Linked DNA regions of Anolis sagrei. The protein of the gene in region 1 purifies or fractionates together with the protein of each later gene. This does not show direct contact. Links are inferred from orthologs where the notes say so. Each region holds a gene or a part of one and is shown in the gene's direction. Other genes may lie near its edges.

What was found.
Region 2: the proteins of SNX4 (region 1) and SNX30 purify together in Homo sapiens (co-immunoprecipitation; 4 studies listed by BioGRID and IntAct, counting the BioPlex papers as one, with this or other methods). This does not show direct contact. The link is inferred for Anolis sagrei from reciprocal best matches to the Homo sapiens genes SNX4 and SNX30.
Region 3: the proteins of SNX4 (region 1) and SNX7 purify together in Homo sapiens (affinity purification with mass spectrometry; 3 studies listed by BioGRID and IntAct, counting the BioPlex papers as one, with this or other methods). This does not show direct contact. The link is inferred for Anolis sagrei from reciprocal best matches to the Homo sapiens genes SNX4 and SNX7.

The regions. Positions count from the first base shown.
Region 1 is NC_090021.1:218,969,947-218,977,597, forward strand, and holds the start of SNX4 (sorting nexin-4), read left to right. Parts: upstream 1-4,642; 5' UTR 4,643-4,695; coding exon 4,696-4,932; intron 4,933-7,651. UniProt on the Homo sapiens protein: Involved in the regulation of endocytosis and in several stages of intracellular trafficking. Plays a role in recycling endocytosed transferrin receptor and prevent its degradation.
Region 2 is NC_090022.1:207,183,498-207,191,344, forward strand, and holds the start of SNX30 (sorting nexin-30), read left to right. Parts: upstream 1-4,802; 5' UTR 4,803-5,042; coding exon 5,043-5,213; intron 5,214-7,847. UniProt on the Homo sapiens protein: Involved in the regulation of endocytosis and in several stages of intracellular trafficking. Together with SNX4, involved in autophagosome assembly.
Region 3 is NC_090024.1:149,071,960-149,079,224, forward strand, and holds the start of SNX7 (sorting nexin-7), read left to right. Parts: upstream 1-4,265; 5' UTR 4,266-4,319; coding exon 4,320-4,415; intron 4,416-7,265. UniProt on the Homo sapiens protein: Involved in the regulation of endocytosis and in several stages of intracellular trafficking. Together with SNX4, involved in autophagosome assembly by regulating trafficking and recycling of phospholipid scramblase ATG9A.

The DNA.
Region 1 (7,651 bases):
CCTTCCACACAGTTGAATAAAATCCCATATCATTGGCTTTGAACTGCGATATATGGCAGGGTGGACTGAGAAAAAACCCAGTTCAAAGCAGATATTCTGGGTTACATGTCTGTGCAGAAGGGCCCTCAGTGATGTGTGTGAAATTCAGCAGTGCTTACAGTAATGCTGTAACACTCCATCTTTCATGTATGTTCAATGCAGCTGCATCAAAGACCATTATCACTGAAGCGATGCTCCTCTGCCATCAACTCTGCTGGACTGGCCATGTTGTCCGGATGGCAGATCACCATCTCCCAAAGCAGTTACTATACACCCAACTCAAGAATGGGAAATGTAATGTTGGTGGACAGGAAGAGATTTAAAGATGGGCTTAAAGCTAACCGTTAAAACTGTGGCATAGACACTGAGAACTGGGAAATCCTGGCCCTTGAGTGCTAGCTGGAGGTCAGCTGTGACCAGCAGTGCTGTGGAATTTGAAGAGGCACAAATGGAGGACGAAAGGGAGAAGCATGCCAAGAGGAAGGCATGCCAAGCCAACCCTTACCGGAACTGCCTTCTACCTGGAAACTGATGTCCTCACTGTGGAAGAACGTGTGGGTCAAGAATAGGGCTCTACAGTCACCTATGAATCCACCGCCAAGACCCTACACTTGTAAGGCCATCGTACTCGGACAACAAGGGATCGGTTAAAGTAACACTCCACCTTCCATGTATGTGCAATGCAGCTGTATCAGAGCAATAAAATAATTCAGTAACTAATTGGAAGCTGTTCTCAAATGATGGCTGCAATATAAAGAAATGAGATGGTTTCAACTTGACGAAAACTGTAAAAAAGTTATTTAGGGTATAGTCCTATACTGAAGAGTAAGTTCCATACTCAGTAGAGCTTACTTCTGAGTAGATGTGCAGAGCCCAACATCTCCACATCTGCTCTTTTAAAGATATCCATCTATCCATCCACCATCTATCTGCAACACAACTTAAGTAGTCATTTCAATTTCATACATTAGCCTTTAAAAGCAGTTAATATTTTATTTATCAGTAACAACAGTGTATTTTCTTCACTCTGAATGCTCTTTTCTCAAGCTGTGTCCAACAGCCAGAGTTTTGGAAAAGACTTTTTAAACAAGATCTTATGAACTTAATAAATGCCATGAATGTCTCAGTATGTTCCCTTTTCTAACACAGTTAGAAAAAAAGTTAGATTCTTTTTAAAAATATGGCTGTACTCATCTTTGCCCTTTTTGCAAATACCTATTCTTCTTTACATTTTGTTGCTTCATTTTAAAACTTGCTATTTCTAGAAATGCAGTGATGGTGAAAACTGATATGAGCACAACCTATGAAGCTGCTTGTAGTGCAGCTAGTTGTGTGCTCTCAATCTCTGACAATTTTGTAGCTTCAGTATGATTGAAAAAACATGAATGCTGGGCAGGCCACCTTTGATAATTGCTTTCAGTTTAGTTGATAACAAGTTGTGTTGTGAATTCCAGGTTTGCCCTACTGAATGAAGTATACCAACGAGGTTACAATGAATGTCAGACATTATATGCTAATACATATACTTTGAATGTATCTTTTCATGTGGGATTGGTTTGTTTGCTTTGATTTTCACAAGGCAAGCATTTTGCCACTGTGTTCCACAAGCAAAGAGAAATTCAAAAGAGAAGATCAGGACAGGCATGGTTCCCTCTGAAATGCATTGTGAAGGGATTGGAGGTGCGCATAAAAAAGGGAGACAGACACAGAGTTACGGCAGGCACCATTTGAAATATGAATGTCATCCCAAAGGAACATATTCACATCAGTCTCAGTCGACCCACTTTAGCATTGTTCTAAGTCAGAAATCAGTCAAAGTACTCCATTACAATGTCAATGTATCAAAAGAAATGAGTTCAGTTACATGAAGCTATGTTCCATCTTCAGAAGGTATAGCCTTATTTACCACTGCTTAAAAGTCACATTGGGTTGCCAAGTGAAATAATAAGAGTTATGTATCTTTTATCATTATATAGAAGAGAAAAAATCAGCAGTTCATGAAAGCATTCTACTCAACAGTTAAAGTGACAGGAGCCCTGTTTTTGTTTCATCTAGTAACTTTACATTCATCAGTCTTCCATTGAAGTGCATGTTGATGAGTTAGTGTTATCGTGCTTTCATTTTGTTCTCTTGGAAACTTTATTTTGTTCATGCTGCAAATATGAAGGACCAAACTCTTACCTGTTCTCCCTGCAATTAAGACATCTTTGTTTCTTTGCATTGTCCCTTTAAACCTTACCATCAGCCATTGGCTCTGAATGATTTTCCAAATTAGCTGGTTTACTCAGTTTTAAGAAGGCAAAACAGCCATACTGAGCTAAGCTTGCATGCATTTGCCCTCTCGAACCCATCTTCCTTTCACAACTCCAGTTAAAATAAACTCCAAGATCATTTTACAGACCCATAGAGTGCTTTCAGTGTATCTGGTTTCTATTCTGTTGTCTTCAATGTTTGTACAAATTTCTTCCGAGATTATTTTATTGTTACCTTTGCCTTTTCACTGCAATTAAAAGAGTTTCCCAGGCATTTATAACTGAACAATTCTTGGCACAAAATCTCCCTTTGATTATGCGAACTGCAAAAGTGCCCTTAGAGTAGGATTGATTTAAGATTTGTTTCATTAACCTAAGTCCATTTTATGCATGGTTGCACACTGTCGCCCAAAATCTGCTTCCCATTATACTGTGGTCTTTGGGATGTTTATGCTAGATGAACATTAAGATATGTCTTTTGCATCAATTACATGTGAATTTTAAAGGATGTGCATTTTTTGAATCTGCATCATCGATTTACATGAAATGCTGATGTGAATATCATATATACCCCATCAAGCACTAATTGTTATGGTTGGGTCCCAAGTGAAAGAGAATCTGGTATCCCCATCTTTATTTATGGGAGTACAAAGGGGGATTGAACTGGCACATGCAAGTATGTTGAGCCCCATGTTGTTGATTTTTTTCTTTTTCGAGCTGGTAATCTCAGAGTTGAATAATACAGAACAAGGCGGGCAGGTTGCCTGGTTTTGTCTTGTCTTAATGTCCACCCCAGAAAAACTTGTGATGTCTGTGGTTTGAGGGTTGGGCTAGGAGTGTATCTACACAATAAAATGAATGCAGTTTGAGACCACATTAACCACCATGGCTGGATGCTATGGAATACCGGGAGTTGTAGTCTGGGGAGGCAGCAGCACCCTTTGGCAGAGGAGGCCAAAGACCTTGTAAAACTGTAAGGATTCTATTGCATTAAGTAGAGTCAATCAACATTGATTCTAGTGTAGATGCACCCTAGGATACAGGGAGATGAGTGTTTGAATCCTTGCTTGGACATGGAAACCCATAGTCACCTTTTAAAAAAGTCATACTCTCTCAGCCTCAAAGAACTGCAAAGGCAAAGCAATTCTACCAACAAAAACCCTGTGATAGGTTCACTGTAGAATAATCATAAGTCATAAATGACTTGTCATTCTTTCTCTTTCTCTTCCATCCTTCTCTCTTCCATCCTTCCCTTCTTTCTCTTCCTTCCCCTTTGTCTTCCCTTCTTCCCCTTTCTCTTCTTCCTTCCCCTCTTCCATCCTTCCCCTCTCCTCTTTCTCTTCCTCCCTTCCTCCCCCTCTTCCATCTTTCCCCTTTCTCTTCCTTCCTTTTCTTCTTCTTTCCCCTTTCTCTTCTCTCCTTCCCCTCTTCCTCTTCCTTTCTTCTTCTCTTCCTTCCTCTCTTCCTTCCCCTTTTCCATCCTTCTCCTTTCTTTTCCACCCTTCTCCTTTCTCTTCCTTCCTTCCCTCTTCCTTCTGAAGGGAACTCTTTCAATAGTTTAAATGTGAATCTTAAAAAGACAGCCAGTCTCCATGAGGTTTGAAGCAAAAATCTCTTTATTTTTCAAGTGCGGCCGCACTGGACAGAAACAGCAAGACAATCAGATGTCTATCAAAAGGCTGCCTGTACCATTTGATCTTTCCAATTTCATTCTTATACCCTTTTTCTTTCCTTTCTATTCTCTCCTTCCCCTCTTTCTCTTCCTTCATCTCTTCTATCCTTCCCCTTCCTTCCCTTCCCTTCTTCTCCTCTTCCTTCCTCTCTTCCCCTTTCTTTTCTCTCCTTCCCCTCTTCCTTCCCCTTTCTTTTCCTTCCTTCTCCTCTTTCTCTTCCTTCCCCTTTCTCTTCTTTCTTTCCTCCCCCTCTCTCTTCCTTCCATCCTTCCCCTCTTCCTTTCCCTTTCTCTTCATTCCCTTTTCATTCTCCCTTTTTCTCTATCCTACCTTTCTTCCCTTCCCTGCCTTCTCCCCATCCTTTCCCTTCTACCAGTGGTTCTCATCCTGTGAGTCCCCAGGTGTTTTGGCCTACAACTCCCAGGATTCCCAGCCAGTTTACCAGCTGTTAGGATTTCTGTGAGTTGAAGGCCAAACCATCTGGGCACCCACAGGATGAGAACTACTGCTCTAGGCTGAGGTGTTCTCCTGTGACTTTGTAAGCAGTCAGATAAACTACTGTAATTGGCCTAACCCCTCCCTTTCACCCTTCCCTTCCTCCCTCTCTTTCTCCTCCTCCCCGAGGCCACGCCCCCTCCCTTCCTCGCGGCTCGCTCTGCGCATGCGCCGTCGGCGGCCGAGCGGTCTTTGCTGGCGGCGCCTCCTCCTCCTCCTGCCCGCCGCCTTCCTCAATGGAGGCGCCCCATCCGGGGGCCCAGAGCCCCGGCAGTGGCAGCAACAGCAGCGGCGCCGAGGGGAGCAGCAGCGGGGAGAGCGGGAGCAGCAGTAGCGGCAGCCAGGGCGGAGGCGCCGAGCCTGAGGCGCCTTCCAGCCCGGGCCCCGGAGAGAGGCAGGCCGCTGACGGGCACGAAGGGAGGCCCGCCAAGGCGGCCGGGAGCGCCGGGGGACTGGCAGCACCAGCCTACGCGGTGAGGGGCCAGGAGGAGGAGGAGGAGGGAAAGGAGGCCTAGCCCCACGGAGAAGGGCGAGGAGTGGTGTTGATGCTGCCGCTAGGAATTGTGGGAGTTGTAGTCCAAAACACCTGGAGGGCCCAAGTTTGCCCATCCCTCGTGTCAGTGGTTCTCAACCTGTGGGTCTCCAGGTGTTTTGGCCTACAATTCCCAGAAATCCCAGCCAGTTTTCTAGTTATTAGGGTTTCTGGGAGTTGAACCCACAGGTTGAGAACCATTGAAAATCCCAAGCATTTAATATAATTGGGGAAGAGGAGAGAGGGCCAAAATATCCCCAGTGGTTCCAGATCTCACCACTTGGGAGATAACCAGGGTCAGTTTTGTTGAGTATTTGGATTGGAGACTGTTCACAAATACCAAGTTCTGCTGCTGGATGTATTTCAGAGGCGGTGTCTGACTGTCTCTTGCCTAAGGAAACCCTATAAATCAGGCATGGGCAAACTTGGGCCTTCCGGGTGTTTTGGACTCCAACTCCCACAATTCCTAATAGCCGGCAAACTTGGTAGGCCGGTAGGCTGTTAGGAATGGTGGGAGTTGGAGTCCAAAACACCTGGAAGGCCCAAGTTTGCCCAGGCCTGCTATAAATACATGGAGTGCTCCATAAGGGTGGTGGCCCCCCCAATTTAGGAAGTCCCTCCCAAGGGAGATTAGGCAAGCTCCCACATTGTCCTCCTTTCACAGGGATTTGAAAACCAGGATTTTTCAGCTTGCATTTGGGGACGCCTAGCCCCTCCTTATAAGTGTCCAGTACCTAGGTTGCCTGATATTTTGTCATTCATCCAGTAACCGGCCCTATTGTACAGTGTATGTTATGTTAATGTTTTAAATTGTTTTTAATTTACTGTTTTTAATTGTTATATCTGTTATAATTGTTTTGTACGTTGTGGGATCAAATTGTTGCCAATGTAAGCGGCTCTGAGTCCCCCCTCAGGGGTTGAGAAGAGTGGGGTAGAAATGTTGGAAATAAATAAATAAAATGCCCAGCCCTTTATAGACTGATCACACCTGCTGTACTACTGGCAATTGGTTTTGCTGAGTATTGTTATTTATTTATTAATTTATTATTTACCCTTATAATAATCTAATAGCTTAATTTTTATACCCTGCCTCCATCTCCCCAAAAGGGACTCGGGGCAGCTTACAAGGGGACAAACCCAAAGAGCACAGAATTAAAACATAACACAATAAAATCAAATCAAAAGAAAACAATGTAAGAGCATATCACAATAAAATATAACATCATAAAAACAGAAACGTGCTGTTTATTTATTCTTTTCATACCCCACCTTTCTCTACCCCGAAGGGAACTCAAGGCAGCTTACATATGGCAATTATTTAATGCCTTGCAACATATACAGATATTTAAAAACTTAAAAACAGTTGAGTTAACATTGATACAAGTTAAACATTTAAAAATTACATTCAGTATTAAAATCACACCATCCAAAAATCATGGTCCAAGGTCGATTACATAGTCAGTTGCATATAATTCAATTTATATTGCACCACACTAGTCTTTGAAAGCCTGGTCCCAGAGCCAAGATTTTACTTTCCTTCCGAAAGTGAGGAGGGAGGGGGCTGACCTGATGTCGCTAGGAATGGTGTTCCACAGCCAATGGGCCATCACTGAAAAGGCCCTATCTGTCATCCCCACCAGTTGCACTTGTTTTGACTGAGTTTCAATGCTGATGTTTTATAGTTTATGTGTTATTTAAATGTGGTTTAATCTGGATTGTTATATTTTACTATGTTTTATTTTAACTGCGTTTTTGTTTGAATTGATTGTTTTGTATTTGTGTTTTTATGGGCATTTTGTCCTCTATGTAAGCAGTCCCGAGTCCCTTCGGGGAGATGGTGGTAGGGTATAAGAATAAAGTTATTATTATTATAAGTCAACAGGCACCTTGAAGGTACGTACACATATTGAGAGGCATTGGGAGTGGTGGGGATAGAGGAGGGGGCGAGTTGGAGGGAAAGATAGGCGCAACACCTGGGAGGGCTCTGCATTGCTACCTGTTTCTTTGGGTAAATCTACACTGAGGAATTATTGCAGTTTAACAACTTGTAACTGCCTTGACTCAATGTTATGCAATCCTAGGAGTTGTTGTTTTACAAGACAATGAGTGCTGTTGTCTCACCAAACGACATCTCTCACGATTATACAGCATTAAAGTGGAATCAGAATGCATTATTTCTACAGTGTAGAACCAGCCTATTTGAGAGTTGGCCATAACTGGGAATTCTGGCAGGCACAGTGTGGCATATGATAAAGAAGAAAGCTGCATCAGCTGGGAGCTCTTCTTTTCTTTGTCCATTGCTCTTTCCCTTGGTACGAAAACCACTTAACAACAATGGGCTATTTAGCCGCCTTTGTGCTGCAATCATGAGGCACCTGCAATGACAGTAGTCTTTAATATTTAACATCAGCTTTCATGAAACTTGGCTTACTCTACTTCTAAGCTTCTAGTCCCCACTGGGCTGTGAATTTCATTGGACAAGCTTGTGCCAATCACACACTGCCTGATGTACTTCCTAGGAATGTTTTGGCACTTCATTGGGGAAGGGAGAGCCAAATGTAGTACCCTAAACTCTTCAGAAGAAATAATAATAATAACAACAACAACTATATTTTTGCATCCCACCACCATCTTCCTGAAGGGACTCAGGGCAACTTACA
Region 2 (7,847 bases), on another chromosome or scaffold:
GATACCTACATATTTAGAAACAAATAACTGCTACATTCAGTTACTTTCAGGTTAGTGAGCATCAGGGTGGTCACATACATATATTGAGAAAGAGAGAGAAAATGTATCACCAAGAAAGAAGATAGCAGTATGCACCAATGTTTACAAATGCTACATTTTTAACTGTTAGTACCTGGGTAATAGATATATAGGTCAGCTAATGCCAGTTTCTTCAAATAGGAGACATATTGGGGTAGCAATTTTTCCCAATTTTACATCTGTGGATTTTATTGCAGGAGATGGCAAACCTGCATTGAAGCTGTATTTATCCTGCTGGTAGTTCCTCCCCATGATTAATTCCCACCTGGAACGATGGGGGAACTATGCGAGGATACCATTTGCAGACTTTAGATCTGTATTTAACACAATCCTCCCACATAGATCGGTGTCTAAATTTATAGATCTTGGATTATTATTATTATTATTATTATTATTATTATTATTATCTGCAATGGCTCAATGCTATGCTATGAAATCATGGGAACTGGAGCCCCTGGTGGTGCAATGGGTTAAACCCTTGTGCCTGCAGGACTGCTGACTGACAGTTCAGCAATTCGAGTCTGTGGCGAGCGGGTTGAGCTCCCTCTGTCAGCTCCAGCTCCCCATGCGGGGACATAAGAGAAGCCTCACATAAGGATGGTAAAACATCAAAATATCTGCGTGTCCCCTGGGCAACTTCCTTGCAGACGGCCAGTTTTCTCACACCAGAAGCGACTTGCAGTTTCTCAAGTTCCTCCTGACACGGAAAAAAAAAAGGCAATTGTGATTATAGAAGTTCTTTTGCCTTTGCCAAAGAGTAGTGATGTCTCACCAAACTACAACTCCCACGATTCCTTAGCATTTAGCCATGGCAGTTAAAGTCATGTCAAACTGCTTTAATCCTACATTGTAGATGCACTCCTTGTGACACCTTATTCTGTAACATCTTTCTACCTAAATCCAAGGAAGCTGTTACAGTTGTAAACTGGTGGTTTTCATCAGTAATGGAGTAGAGGAAATAAACTGAAACTTACCACCTCATCACACTGGGGCAAATTGCCCCTTTGCAGCACTTTGGGGATGGGGCCATCACATGATGCTCAGCAGACCCCACTCCATTGATGCTTGAAGTGCCAACGAAGCATGGCAAGATGCTTCCTCGGCCAGCATGCTTGGGTAAGTATTTTTCGTATGGCTCCAATAGAGCCACCTGCCTTTTTAACCTATTTCCCCATCTGATGGGGACAGGGACATGGCACAGGGGGAGGGACATAAAGACGAAAGTGTTTCTGGTCAGTACATAAGACAGATCAGGAAACAAGGTTTCAGACCATGCTAGATGGGGTTGTACTTCTAAAGATATGATTCACAGCATGGATGCGCTCTTGGATTGAACCCTGGCCCCGAGATCTCACGTTGTGGTAGCTAGAACAGCATTCATGCCATTTAAAGCAGCATCCATTAAATAAATATGGTCAAAGTGACACATTTTAGTTATATCTTATTTAGATTATTATATTGTGCTTAATATGACAAGTGTTCAGAAAATTCATTAGGTCCAAATACCTATAGCCTGATTACTGAATGTGGTTGGTTTCCTTTTTATAACCATACCATTGGCTACTTATGTTTCTAGTGAACATTGAAAGTGTTCATTGAATCTCTAAAGCGATCTATGTATCATACTTGGACTTAACCATGAATCCAAAAGGAAATCGAAAGTTACCTGGGAAGGTCAAGAGCTCTAACACTGTTTCCATCCTAAATATCTCGGCATCACCTTAGATTGAAAACTAACATTTAGGAAACACTGCATGAACACCAAGCATGAAGTAGCTGCACACAATAACATGTGGATTGCTGGTGCTTGGTTTTGGTCAAAAATTATTTCGCCACTTGTGCTCCTTATATTTTTATCAGTTATTATACTTATGTATGCAATGCTTTTGACACAAAATAAATAAATACATCATACTTGGAGGCCACATTGTTCCATATGAGTCTCTCTGGGCTTTGAGATCAAGGTTCTCTTGAATCCTTATTACACCATGCTGCTATATCCTCATATTAGTGATTTTATTCTGCCTTTATCTCAGATTTATCACATGATGTCATGGTTTTCCAAATGCTATTAGACTGCAAAAGTTATTGAAAATGTGATTTTTTTTCATGATAGAAAACTCCCTCTATGAATCATTAGTTGGCTTGAGTGCAGACATCTCATTTCATTGTGAGAATGATGTATTAGTGGGTGTACTGTGGGTGTGATCTGGTCATCCCTCCCAAGGAAATCTTCAGGAGGGAAATCTCAAACCGCTTCTGGTGCTAGGGCAGGGAGGAGAAGGCTTCCAAAGAGAACAACAGTTTTCTGGAGGGCTGACTGCACTTGACACCATAATAATTGTCTGATCAAATCTAAATTTATAGGCAAGACCTTGGCAACACAAAGATTGGCCTATCATTTCCAAAAACCTTCATCAGATGTTAATTTGCATGAAAATCCCAGAGCATACTGTTAACTGTTTCTTGGTATTTGCAGTCAAGTAAACAGAGGTTCTTTTTCTGAAGCAGTTAGCATCAGACTTGAAGATCAGACCATCATGTATTGGAGCAAACCCCAGAAAAGATAATTTTAATCAAATGACTGACAGAAAAGATTAGCAAACCGAAACACACACACACGGAGCTGCTTATTTTACAGTGAGAACTAAATTACAGTTGGTGGATCATTGGCTGTATCTGCCCATTAAAATCAATGAAATTTGACATCACTTTAACTGCCGTGGCACCATGCTATGGAATCATGAGAGTTGTAGTTTTACAAATGTTTGCTGCCAGAGTATTGATGCTTCACCAAACTACAAATTCTAGGAGTTCATAGCATTGAGCTATGGTAGTTAAAATGGTGTCAAACTGCATTAACTATGCAGTGTATATGCACTCCTAGAGATTTTGCTATGATCTGATGGAAATTATGCATTATCAACAGATAGGAAAGGTGCTGGATATTCTCTGTTCTGATGAATTAGATGTGTATGTAAAGGGGGAGAGAGTGATTTAACCAGTAAGAATAAACATATGCACATGCATGTATATATAAGCCTGTATGCATTTAAAATATTTTTGGGGCAGCCATTGACTGATGGATTTTGCAGTTATGCATACAGCAAGCTGAGACTTATGTTGATGCTAAGTGGCAGATATAGAGGCACCTTCTAATATTTAGGGAATAATTGTTTTTTGTGACATAATTAATAGTTGTATATTTTGTTACAAACATAATACATAACTATTTATTGTTTATTATGTTTATTTATATCCCACTTTTTATCTTATGGAGACTCAAAGCAGCTCACTGTTAAAAGCATTACAATACAACTTAAAATATACAAAACTTCTGCTGCCCTGGCGACTAGGGTCCCTTTCACACAGCCCTATATTCCAGAATATCAAGGCACAAAATCCTACATTATCAGAGGGCCCTTCCACACATCCATATAACCCAGAATATCAAGGCAGAAAACCCCACAATATCTGCTTTGAACTGGGTTATCTGAGTCCACACTGCCGTATAACACTACCGTATGTGGGATTTTATTCAGCTGTGTGGAAGGGGCCAGAGTGTAGATTCAGATAACCCAGTTCAAAACAGATATTGTGGGATTTTCTGCCTTGATATTCTGGGATATAGGGCTGTGTGGAAGGGTCCTAGGACATGGAGCAATGGCTTCAAACTACAGGAAAGGAAATTCCACCTGAACATGAGGAAGAACTTCCTGACTGTAAGAGCTGTTTAGCAGTGGAACTATCTGCCACGAAGTGTGGTGGAGACTCCTCCTTTGGAGGTTTTAAGCAGAGGCTGGGTGGCCATCTGTCAGGGGTGCTTTGAATGTGATGTTCCTGCTTCTTGGCAGGGGGTTGTACTGAATGGCCCACGAGGATTTTTTGCCTTGATATCCTGGGATACTGGGCTGTATGGAAGGGCCCTTAGATAAACCAGTTCAAAGCAGATATTGTGGGATTTTCTGCCTTGATATCCTGGGATACTGGGCTGTATGGAAGGGCCCTCAGATAACCCAGCCCAAAGCAGATATTGTGGGATTTTCTGCCTTGATATTCTGGGATAGAGATCTGTGTGGAAGGACCCTCAGAAATCTTTATTTCCCTCACAACTGGTGCAATTCATGGCTTCTTCCCCAGAAGTAGACACACACAAGTAAACAGTGTCTTTGGCAAATGGGGTGTGCCTTGTGTGAGTAGTTGAGGGGGGAAAGTGTTGCTGTTATTTTAATTGGAGATATTCCTCAGAAATGCCTCAAAAACCTTAATCTTCCTCACAACAGGGACAATTCGTAGCAACAAGGAGTGTCTTTAGCAAATGCGTGTGTAGATGAGCAGGGGAAGAAGGGGTTGCTGTTGTTTTAACGAAACATATCTTCGAGTTTCCCTCAGAAACCTTTTTCATTTCCCTCACAAGAGGGGACCATTCAAGAGTGGTCAGGCAGCTTGAAGGGACCAACGCAGGCAGAAAGACACACGTCATGGTAAACGGGGCGTGACTGTGTGTGTGTGGGAAGGAGGAAGGGAGAGAAAAAGGTGTTGTTGTTGTGGTGATGGGAGTGTTTCCACTCCTCCCTCCTCCCCCCTCCCCTTTTAACGGACATCTTCCATTAAGAGACTACAAATTCAACCCAGAGGGCCAAGGAAGGGGGTGGGGCGACGCGAGAGAGCGTGTGTCAATCACAGCCCCCTCGGCCTATAGGCGCCCGCGATAGCCAGAGTGGGCGGGGCCCCGCCGCAGTACTCTCTCCGGGTGAAAGCGCTGCTACGTTGTCTCGAGCAGCTTTCCTGTCAGGCGGGCGGGCCTTTCCTTCTCTCTCTCTCTCTCTCCCCCTCTCTCTGTGTTTGGCAAGGCGCTCTCGCTCTCCGCCCGCCCGCCTGCCTCTGGGAGTCGTTGCCTGCCTCCTGCTGCCCAGCTCGGCCTCGGGGAAGCTTGGGCCCCGCGTCCGCTCCGCCTCCCCGCGATGTCTGCAGCCGGGGGCGGCGGGGCGGGGACTCCCAAGGCGCTGCCTTCCTCGGGACCCAGGTCGCTGCGGGACATGCCGCACCCGCTGGCCGCCTCCAGCAGCGAGGAGGCCGGGGGGGACCTCACGCCCAGCCCCGAGCTGCAGCTCCCGAGGAGCCTGGCCGACAAGGTGGGGGCGCGCGCGCTTCAGGAGGGAGGGGGGAGGAGGAGGGGGCTTTCCTCTGGGAAGGGAGGGGCAAGAGGCGCCCCCTTCCCCCGTTGCTTCTTGGACCATCTTGGGATGTTCCTTGCCTTCTGGGGGGGGGGGGGGGGATCTACGCCAGGCATTGGCAAACCTCGGCCCTCCAGGTGTTTTGGACAACACAAAATCACATTTATACAAACACACATATATACACATATACACAAATATATACACACACAAAACACATATACACAGAATTGTGGGAGTTCAAGTCCAAAACACCTGAAGGGCCGAGGTTGTTGTTGCTATTATTATTGTTATTATGTTTATTTAAATCCCGCTTTTTCTCTCCCCATACGGAGACTCCAAGCGGTTCACAATTAAAACGATTGCTATGCAACTTAAAATACCTATATAAATAAAAAGGTAATGTTCATTTGTGGGATTAACATAACTCAAAAACCACTGGACGACTTGACACCAAATTTGGACACAAGACACCTTAGGCCAGTGGTTCTCAACCTTTCTGATGCCACGACCCCTTAATACAGTTCTATATGTTGTGCTGACTCCCAACCATGAAATTATTTTTATTGCTACTTCATAACTGCAATTTTCCTACTGCTAGGAATCATAATGTAAATAAGTAATATGTAAGATGTATTTTAATTCAGTGGACCAAATTTGGCACAAATACCCGATACGCCCACATTTGAATACTGGTGGGGTGCGGTGGGGGGATTGATTTTGTCATTTGGCAGTTGTAGTTGCTGGGATTTATAGTTCACCTTCAATTAAAGAGCATTCAGAACTCTACCAACGATGGAATTGAACCAAACTTGGCACACAGAACTCCCATGACCAACATAAAATATTGAAAGTGTTGGTGGACATTGACCTTGAGTTTTGGAGTTGTAGTTCACCTACATCCAGAGAGCATTGTGGACTCAAACAATCATAGATCTGGACCAAACTTGACACGAATACTCAATACGCCCAAATGTGAACACTGGTGGAGTTTGGGGAAAATAGAACTTTGCATTTGGGAGTTGTAGTTGCTGGGTTTTATAGTTCACCTATAGTCCCTTGACCCCACCAATGATAGAAGTGGGCCAAACTTCCAACACAGAACCCCCGTCACCAACAGAACTTATTGGAGTGATTTGGGATGAATTGACAGTGATTTAGGGGAGATGTAGTTCACCTTCCACCTTTCCGATGGGTCTTTGGCGACTCCTCGGACAATCCCTCGTGACCCCCCCCCCCAGGGGTCCCGACCCCCAGGTTGAGAAACGCTGCCTTAGGCCAATGAGTGACCATCACTCATAAAAAAACTGAAAAACACAGCAGAAGAGGCTTAAAAAGCCAAAAAAATAAAAAATACATTACAACATATGCGCAAAACCACATATATACACAAACACACATATATACACATATACACAAATATACACATACATATATGCATATGTACACACACAAAACACATATACACAGAAAGGGGGAAGGAAGGAGAGAAAGAGGGAAAGAAGAAGGAAAGGAGAGAAGGAAGGCAAGAAAGGAAGGTAGAGAAGGAAGGAGAAAAGGAAATAAAGTGAAAGAAGGAAGGAAAGAGAAAGGGAAGAAAGGAGAGAAGGAATGAAAGAGGGAGGGAAGGAAGGAGACAAGGAAGGGTGGAACCAAAGAGCAAAGAAAGGGAGGAAAGAAACAGAGAAGGAAGAAAGATGAAGGGAAAGAAAAAGAGGAGGAAGGAAAGAGGGAAGGAAGGAGAGAAAGAGGGAGGGTAGGTTGGCCACAGCAACGCATGGCAGGTGCAGCTAGTACAAATATAAAAGTATTAAAACAGTAAAAACATTTCACAACCTCTGAGGATGCTTGCCATAGATGCAGGCGAAATGTCAGGAGAGAATGCTTCTAGAACATGGCCATATAGTCCGAAAAACCTACAACAACCCAGTAAAAACATCATTCAAGATGCATGAATTTATTTATTTACTAGCTGTCCCCTGCCACACGTTGCTGTGGCCCAGTCTGTGCATATGTATTTTGTGTGTGTATATATTTGTGTAGGGGAAAGGTAAAGGTTTTCCCCTGACATTAAGTCCAGTCGTGTCCGACTCTGGTGGGTGGTGCTCATTTCCATTTCTAAGCCGAAGAGCCGGAGTTGTCTGTAGACACCTCCAAGGTCATGTGGCTGGCATGACTGCATGGAATGGCGCTACCTTCCCATCAGAGCGGTACTTATTGATCTCACATTTGCATGTTTTTGAACTGCTAGGTTGGCAGAAGCTGCCGCTCCCCAGATTTGCACCCATGACATATGTGTGTTTGCATATATATATGTGTGTTTGTGCATGTGTTGTAATGTATTTTTTGGGGTTTTTTTTGGATTTTTAAGTCCCTACCACTGTGTTTTTCAGTGTTTTATGAGTGCTGGTCACTTGTTGGCCTGATAGGTGTATTATGTCTGAATTGGTGTCAGTTCGTCTAGTGGTTTTGGAGTTATATTAATCTTACAAATGAACATTACATTTTTATTTATATAGATTGTGTTGTTGAAGGCTTTAATGGCTGGAATCACTGGATTGCTGTGAGTTTTCCGGGCGATATGGTCATGTT
Region 3 (7,265 bases), on another chromosome or scaffold:
TTTAGGGGGCACGTAGCACAATTTTCCATTTCCCTTTCTTTCTCAGCTGTTTTAAACCCAACTGACTTCTGACTCACTTAATATTGAAGAGATTATATACTAGCTTGGGGACCTGGCAATGCTCCAGTTATTCAAAAAAGTATTGTTTGTTTTGGGGTTTTAGGTAATATCACTTTGCAGGCCCGTAGCCAGGATTTTGATTGGGGGGGGGGGGGGAGAGTGAGTTTGATTCGGGGGGCTGAGTCTGAGTGAAAGAGGGTCTACCCTAGCAAACCTTTTGTATCATTACCCCAATACTCCCATGCATATGGGATATATTGAGCATGGTGATCAGATCATGATATGAATAAACATAACAGTTTAAATAATGTACCAGTAAGGCCGCTTTTGTTTGTTATGAATGCTCCCATTAGAAAATTCATAAGTGGGTGAACTACAATTCCCAAAATCATGGGTCTATCCTTCCCAAACTCCAACAGTATTCATAGTTAGCCATGTTGGGTCTGTGTGCCAAATTTGGTCGAGATCCAACATTGGCTGGGTTCAGTGCTCTCTGGATTAGGGTGAACTACAACTCCCAGATCCAAGGTCAATCACACCCTAACCCTGCCTGTATGAACAGTTGGCCATGTTGAATCTGCGTGCCAAGTTTGTTCCAGATCTGATGTCAGCTGGGGGTTCAGTGTGTTCTCTCACTGCAGGGTAAACTACAACTCCCACTATGGTGAGTCAGTCCCCTTAAACCCTCCCAGTAGGTCTGGCCAAGTTTGGTCCAGATTAGTCATTGGCGGAGGTCACAGTTTCTCTGGTTGTGGGTGAACTACTACTTCCAGAAAGGAAGGTTAGTTCCCCCCGCCCCTAAACCCCTCCAGTAATCAAATTTCGGCATATGAGGTATGTGTGCCAAGGTTGGTCCAGATCCACCAGTGTTTGAGTTCACAGTGCTCTCTGGATGTAGGTGAACTTCAACTCCCCCAAATCAAGGTGAATTTTCCCCCAAGACCTCCAGTATGTTTGCTGGTCATTGGGGCTCTATGCGCCAAGTTTAATCCAATTCCATTTTGGTGGAGTTCAGAGTGCTCATAGATTGCAGGTGAACTATAAACCCCAGTACCTACAACTCTAAACAGTCCAGGCCAGTTCCCCTCAAAACTCACCAGTATTCAAATTTGGGCATATCAGGTATGCATGCCAAGTTTGGCTCAGATCTATATGTGTTTGAGTTTATAGTGCACTCTGGATGTAAGTGAACTACAACTCCCAGAACTCCCTCCAAAGACCTCCAGTGTTTTTTATTGATCATGGGGGTTCTGTGTGCCAAGTTTGTTCCAGTTCTATCGTTGGTAGGGTTCAGACTGCAGTTCTTAGATTGCAGGTGAACTATGCATCCCAGTACCTACAATTCCTATAAGTCATAGTGCATTCTCCCCAAACCTCTCTAGTATGTTCAGTTGCTGATCGATTCCTCTGTTTTCTGTGTGCCATAGAAAAGAATAGGAAAGGGTTAAGGGAGAGGCAGTGGGTGGGGTTAAGCAAATTTCACACCATTGGTGAGAGTAAGAAACACTAGGATGCCTGTGGTGGAGGAAACACATCAAAACTAGGGTGAATTAGTCCCTGAATGAAAGCTTTTACTTGGGTGGTGGGAAGTGTGGTTTTGGTGAAGGACATTGGCAGGGCTCTTGCACATTTTCATGGTACTCGTTGTAACCTGTAATGTTATTGGAGGAAGGCCTATTGGTATCTCCTGTATAGTGACAGCAATAGCTGTTTGTGGAGGTGGGAGCTTGTCTGTGTAAGGGGACACCCCAGTCACATACACACATGCATATTTTCAGTTTTATTGTGTCTAGATAGATAGAGTAAAATAATAAAATCCATAGAATAACAGATAATTGAATGCCTTTCCTGCCAATGAATACTATTGGCAGGAAAGGCTTTCAATTATGTGTTATTCTATGGATTTTATGTTGCTGGCTATATTTCAGAGGAAGGTAGTAGCAAAACTACCACTGGGTATCCCTTGCCTAAGAAAATCCATAGAGTCACCATGAGTTGACAGATGACTTGAAAGTATATAAGGACACAGTCACAAGACACTACTGGGATTTTAAAAAAATCTAATGGCAGAAAAAGAGGAAGCAGAAAGACACGCTCTATCCTTCCTACAAAGAGAGTTTCAGCCACCAAGAAGATCCTCACACTGTGCTTATCATACCTGGTGGTGGATTTATATTTGGGGACAAATGCTACCCTCAAAACAATGATCAAGAGATAGTACATAGATCCTTCATTGGCAGCTGGAGAAGTGGTTTCACTGATTGTGAGGCATTCCAAAAAAATAAAAAGCTTGAAAATGTGTGTCAGCCATCCTTAAATCCTAGAGGTGAGTGCTTCATTTATTCAGAAATACTGCAGATAGCATCAACTGAGGCCTGAGCTATGCAAGGGTTTTAAAAATGTTGCCATTGGCACTCTATAAATGCAATGTTGCATCCTTTAGTTCCCAGCTAATCACTTGGAAAAATGGAGATACACACATTCCTGTGTCAGCCATGCACTTTGGTTGGGTAAAGCCGTGCTTCTGTCAGGAAGACTAATCTCCAATTTAGTACATAGAAGAAACTGAGCAAAAAAAAAGTGTCACTTTCATGTAGCAGAATAAAAAATCTAATCATTGGAGCCTCCGGTGGTGCAGTGGGTTAAACTGCTGAGCTGCTGAACTTGCTTATCGAAAGGTCGCAGGTTCGAATCCGGGGAGCGGTGTGAGCTCCCACTGTTAGCCCTGGTTTCTGCCAACCTAGAAAACATGCAAATGTGAGTAGATCAATAGGTACCGCTCTGGCGGGAAGGTAACAGTGCTCCATGCAGTCATGCTGGCCACATGACCTTGGAGGCATCTACGGACAATGCCAGCTCTTCAGCTTAGAATTGAAGTGAGCACCAACCCCCAGAGTTGGATATGACTGGACTTAATGTCATGGGGAAACTTTTACCTTTACCTTCTAATATCTACCTTACAGAAAAGTTGGATTTTGCATGGAATAATTTCAGGACATTTCCTTGGGTTGTTTATTGGGAAGGTTTGTGGGGTTATTTTGGGTGCTGATTCAGAAAATTGCATTGGATGGACCACAACAAATCTAGATTATTAAATATGGTTTTCTGTGGGTGAGCAGATGGCAACTACTGGATAGCATATATTCTGTATCAGAAATTAGAGCTGATGTGGTCTATCCAATACAATTTTCTGAATTAGTGCCTCAAATAATCCCACAAAGTTGACCAAAAACTGATTCAGTCTTTTGGTACTAATGTTGGAGGGCGGTCCCTGGCCAAAGTAATCCCTGGTCAAAATGGTCCCTGGTCAAAGTGGTCCCTGGTCCAAGTAGTGGTCCCTGGTCATAGTGGTCCCTGGTCCAAGTAGTGGTCCCTGGTCATAGTGGTCCCTGGTTAAAATGGTTCCTGGTCAAAGTGGTCCCTGATCAGAGTGGTCCTTGGTCAAAGTGATCCCTGGTCAAAATGGTCCTTGGTCAAAGTGGTCCCTGGTCCAAGTAGTGGTCCCTGGTCATAGTGGTCCCTCGTTACAATGGTTCCTGGTCAAAGTGGTTCCTGGTTAAAATGGCTCCTGGTCAAAGTGGTCCCTGGTCAGAGTGGTCTTTGGTCAAAGTGATCCCTGGTCAAAATGGCCCCTGCTTCAAAGTGGTTCCTGGTCAAAGTGGTCCCTGGTCTAAGTGGTCCCTGGTCAAAGGTCAAAGTGGTCCCTGGTCAAAGTGGTCCCTGGTCAATGTGCTCTCTGGTCCCTGATCAAAGTAGTTCCTGATCAAAGTGGTTCCTGGTCAAAAAAAAAGGTTGGAAACCACTGATACAGAGGGATGAGTTCTACTTTCATTTCAGTCTGAAGAAAGCCAATGAGGCAGCTGGAAAGAAGAAAGAGAGGCGTTTTAAAGTAAGCTAGGAAAGTAAGATTGCAAAGCATTAAGCAGGATTGCTCCTCCTAAACTAGAGAAGAGTAGGCTGGGACCAACTCGTCAAGTCTGGATCTCTCCCCCCGCCCCCGCTTTCCAAAGCGACCCTCCAAAGTGGGAATTGGGGGCGGTTTCGCGGACTCCATCCCCTCTTCCTTCCCTCCCTCCCTCCCCCGCCATTCCTGGCTCTTTCCCCTCCTTCCCTCGCTTCTTTCCTTCCCAGCCGCGCAGGAAAGGGAAGGCGAAGCGAGGAGGCGACCAATAGCCAAGGCGAGAGGAGGGGCTCCAACCGGGGATCGCCCTCCTCCTCCTCCTCCTCCTCCAAGAGGGAGATCCAGCGAGGGGAAGGCGATGGAGCCCGAGGGCGGCGGCGACGTGGCGGGGGACTCGGCTGCCCCGCTGCTCCTGGACTTGGACGACGACGAGGACCTGGAAGTATTCAGCAAGGTATTCACTAGGGGAATGAGAAAGGGGGTCGCAGGTCTGCGTGGGCTTTCCACTCCCGTTTGGGAAGAAACAGGCGCCTGGAGTGCCCTACGGGGAAGCAGGAGAGTCTCTCCGCCCGTGGAGCTTTTCCACGCCTAGCCATGGGGGCGAAATGGCTCTGCCCTCGTTCCCAGCATCGCCAAGGAGCTCCTCCTTGAAGATCCCGCACCCCTGTGCCTTAAGCTTCCTCTGGACACGAAAACACACAAACAAACCTAGAGTTCCCCCTCCGTCTGCGGGACAGAAGTTTCCCAAGCGCTTCAAAATCCGCCTGCCTCGGCACGCCTTCCTCGTTGCTTTTCTCTGTCTGTGGCTTTCCCTCGCCTGTCGATTTAGGGCAAGTCTTTCATAGACTCCTCAACTTGGAAGAGACCGCAAGAGAAAGGCCGGTCCACCCCCATTCTGCCAGGCAGGAAGACACCACCAAAGCACGCCCCACACAACCTGCTTTTCAAAACAGCCGAAGACAGGTTCAAAGGCAGTGCATTCCACTGTCAAACACCTCCATGCGGAAGTCCTTCCCAACGTTTAGGGAGAATCTCTTTCCCTGCAGTGTGAATCAATTCCTCCCTTCCCTAGTTTCAACAGCAGCAGAAAATAAGCTTGCCCCTTCCAAGCTTATTAAAGTGCCCATAGGGTTTTCTTGTGTGTGTGTGTGTGTGGGCCTCCAGTCATCTGATGATGATGATGATGATGACAACGATGACGATGACTCTGGCACAAGCCAGCAAAGGTGGTCCCAGTGGTGATCAGCACACTGGGTGCACTGCCTAAAGACCTTGGCTTGCACTTAAGCACAATAGGCACTGACAAAATTACCAGCTGCCAGCTGCAAAAGGCCACCTTAGTGGGATCTGCACACATTATTCACCAATACATCACACAGTCCTAGACACTTGGGAAGTGTCCGACGTGTGATCCAATGCAACAGCCAACAGAGTGTCTGCTGTGGACTCATCTTGTTGTGTTTCAAATAATAATCTATATATATATAAATGCTCTGTGCATAATGAGTACCTTAAAAACAAAACAAAAAACAATGAACGAAATCACACCTAATTTTGCAACAAAACATCTCACAATACAAGGAGTGACCATCACTCAAAAACTTATGATTTTGTCATTTGGGAGTTGTATTTGCTGGGATTTATAGTTCACCTACAATCAAAGGGCATTCTGAACTCCACTAACGATGGAATTGAACCAAACTTGGCACACAGGACTTCCAAGACCAACAGAAAACACTAGAAAGTTTTGGTGGGCATTGACCTTGAGTTTGAGAGTTGTAGTTCACCTACATCCAGAGAACACTTTGGACTCAAACAATGACGGGTCTGGACCAAACTGGGCATGAATGTTCTATATGTCCAAATATGAACACAGATGAAGTTTGGGGGAAATAGACCTTGATATTTGGGAGTTGTAGTTACTGGGATTTATAGTTCACCTACAATCAAAGAGCATTCTGAACCCCACCAACGACCGAATTGTGGCAAACTTCCCACACAGAACCTCCATGACCAACAGAAAATACTTAAGGCCATCCAGTCCAACTCCCTTCACCAGGGCAAGAAGACATAATCAAAGCACTCCTGACAGCCATCCAGCCATACATATACATAGATATATATGATTCACACACACACACACACACAGATATAGTATCATAGATTTGAAAGGGACCCCTAAAGAAGGACAATGATATGTTGCATGTTCCAGAGTAGGCAAACCAGACAATCTTCACATCAACACTGACAAAGAAACAACAAGAAATACTGTTTACTCACAAGCATATAGAAATTACATATATTAGAATCCAACACTTTCTCATTACTTTATTTTCCAGATCATCAAACTGGGCCACGGCAACGCGTGGCAGGGGACAGCTAGTAATAATAATAATAATGACTTACTTTCGTATCACAAAATAACAAGCTGAACACTTCCCAAGCATTTCGGACTGTGTGATATATTTTCAAATGATATGCACAGATCCAAGTAAGGTGGCCTTTTGCAGTTGACAGATCATGATTTTGTCAATGTTTATTGTTTCCAAATGCCAACTGAGATCTCGAAATCCAGCATATATATCTCGTTTGTTGTGTCATACTATATTTTTGTGTCAGTAAAATAATGGTTTACTACACCTGGAATACTGTGTCCAATTCTGGGCATCACAATTGATGAGAGATATTAACAAGCTGGAATGTGTCCAGAGGAGGGCGACTAAATTGATCAAGGGTCTGGAGAACAAGCCCTATGAGGAGCGACTTAAAGAGCTGGGCATATTTAGCCTGCAGAAGAGAAGACTGAGAGGAGACATGATGAGAGATAATATGTGAGAGGAGGTCATAGGGTGGAGAGAGAAAGCTTGTCTTCTGCTGCCCTGGAGACTGGGACACAGAACAATGGCTTCAAATGACAGGAAAGCAGATTCCACCTGAACATTAGGAAGATCTTCCTGACTGTGAGAGCTGTTCAGCAGTGGAACTCTTTGCCCCGAAGTCTGGTGGAGGCTCCTTCTTTGGGGGCTTTTAAACAGAGGCTGGATGGCTATCTATTGGGGGGGGGGGGGGGCTTTGAATGCGATTGTCCTGCTTCTTGGCAAGGGACTGGATGACCCATGAAGTCTCTTCCAACTCGATGATTCTATTTGTAGTGTGCTCATGGCTGAGGGCGGACGCACCAGCTTGGTGTACAGCTTTCCCTGGCTGGGATACAACCCTGGAGAGCAGAAGTTTGCACCACAGTCTGTGAGCATTGTTAGACATCCACCTCTGTCCACAAGCTCAATATGAGCAGGCTGGCCAA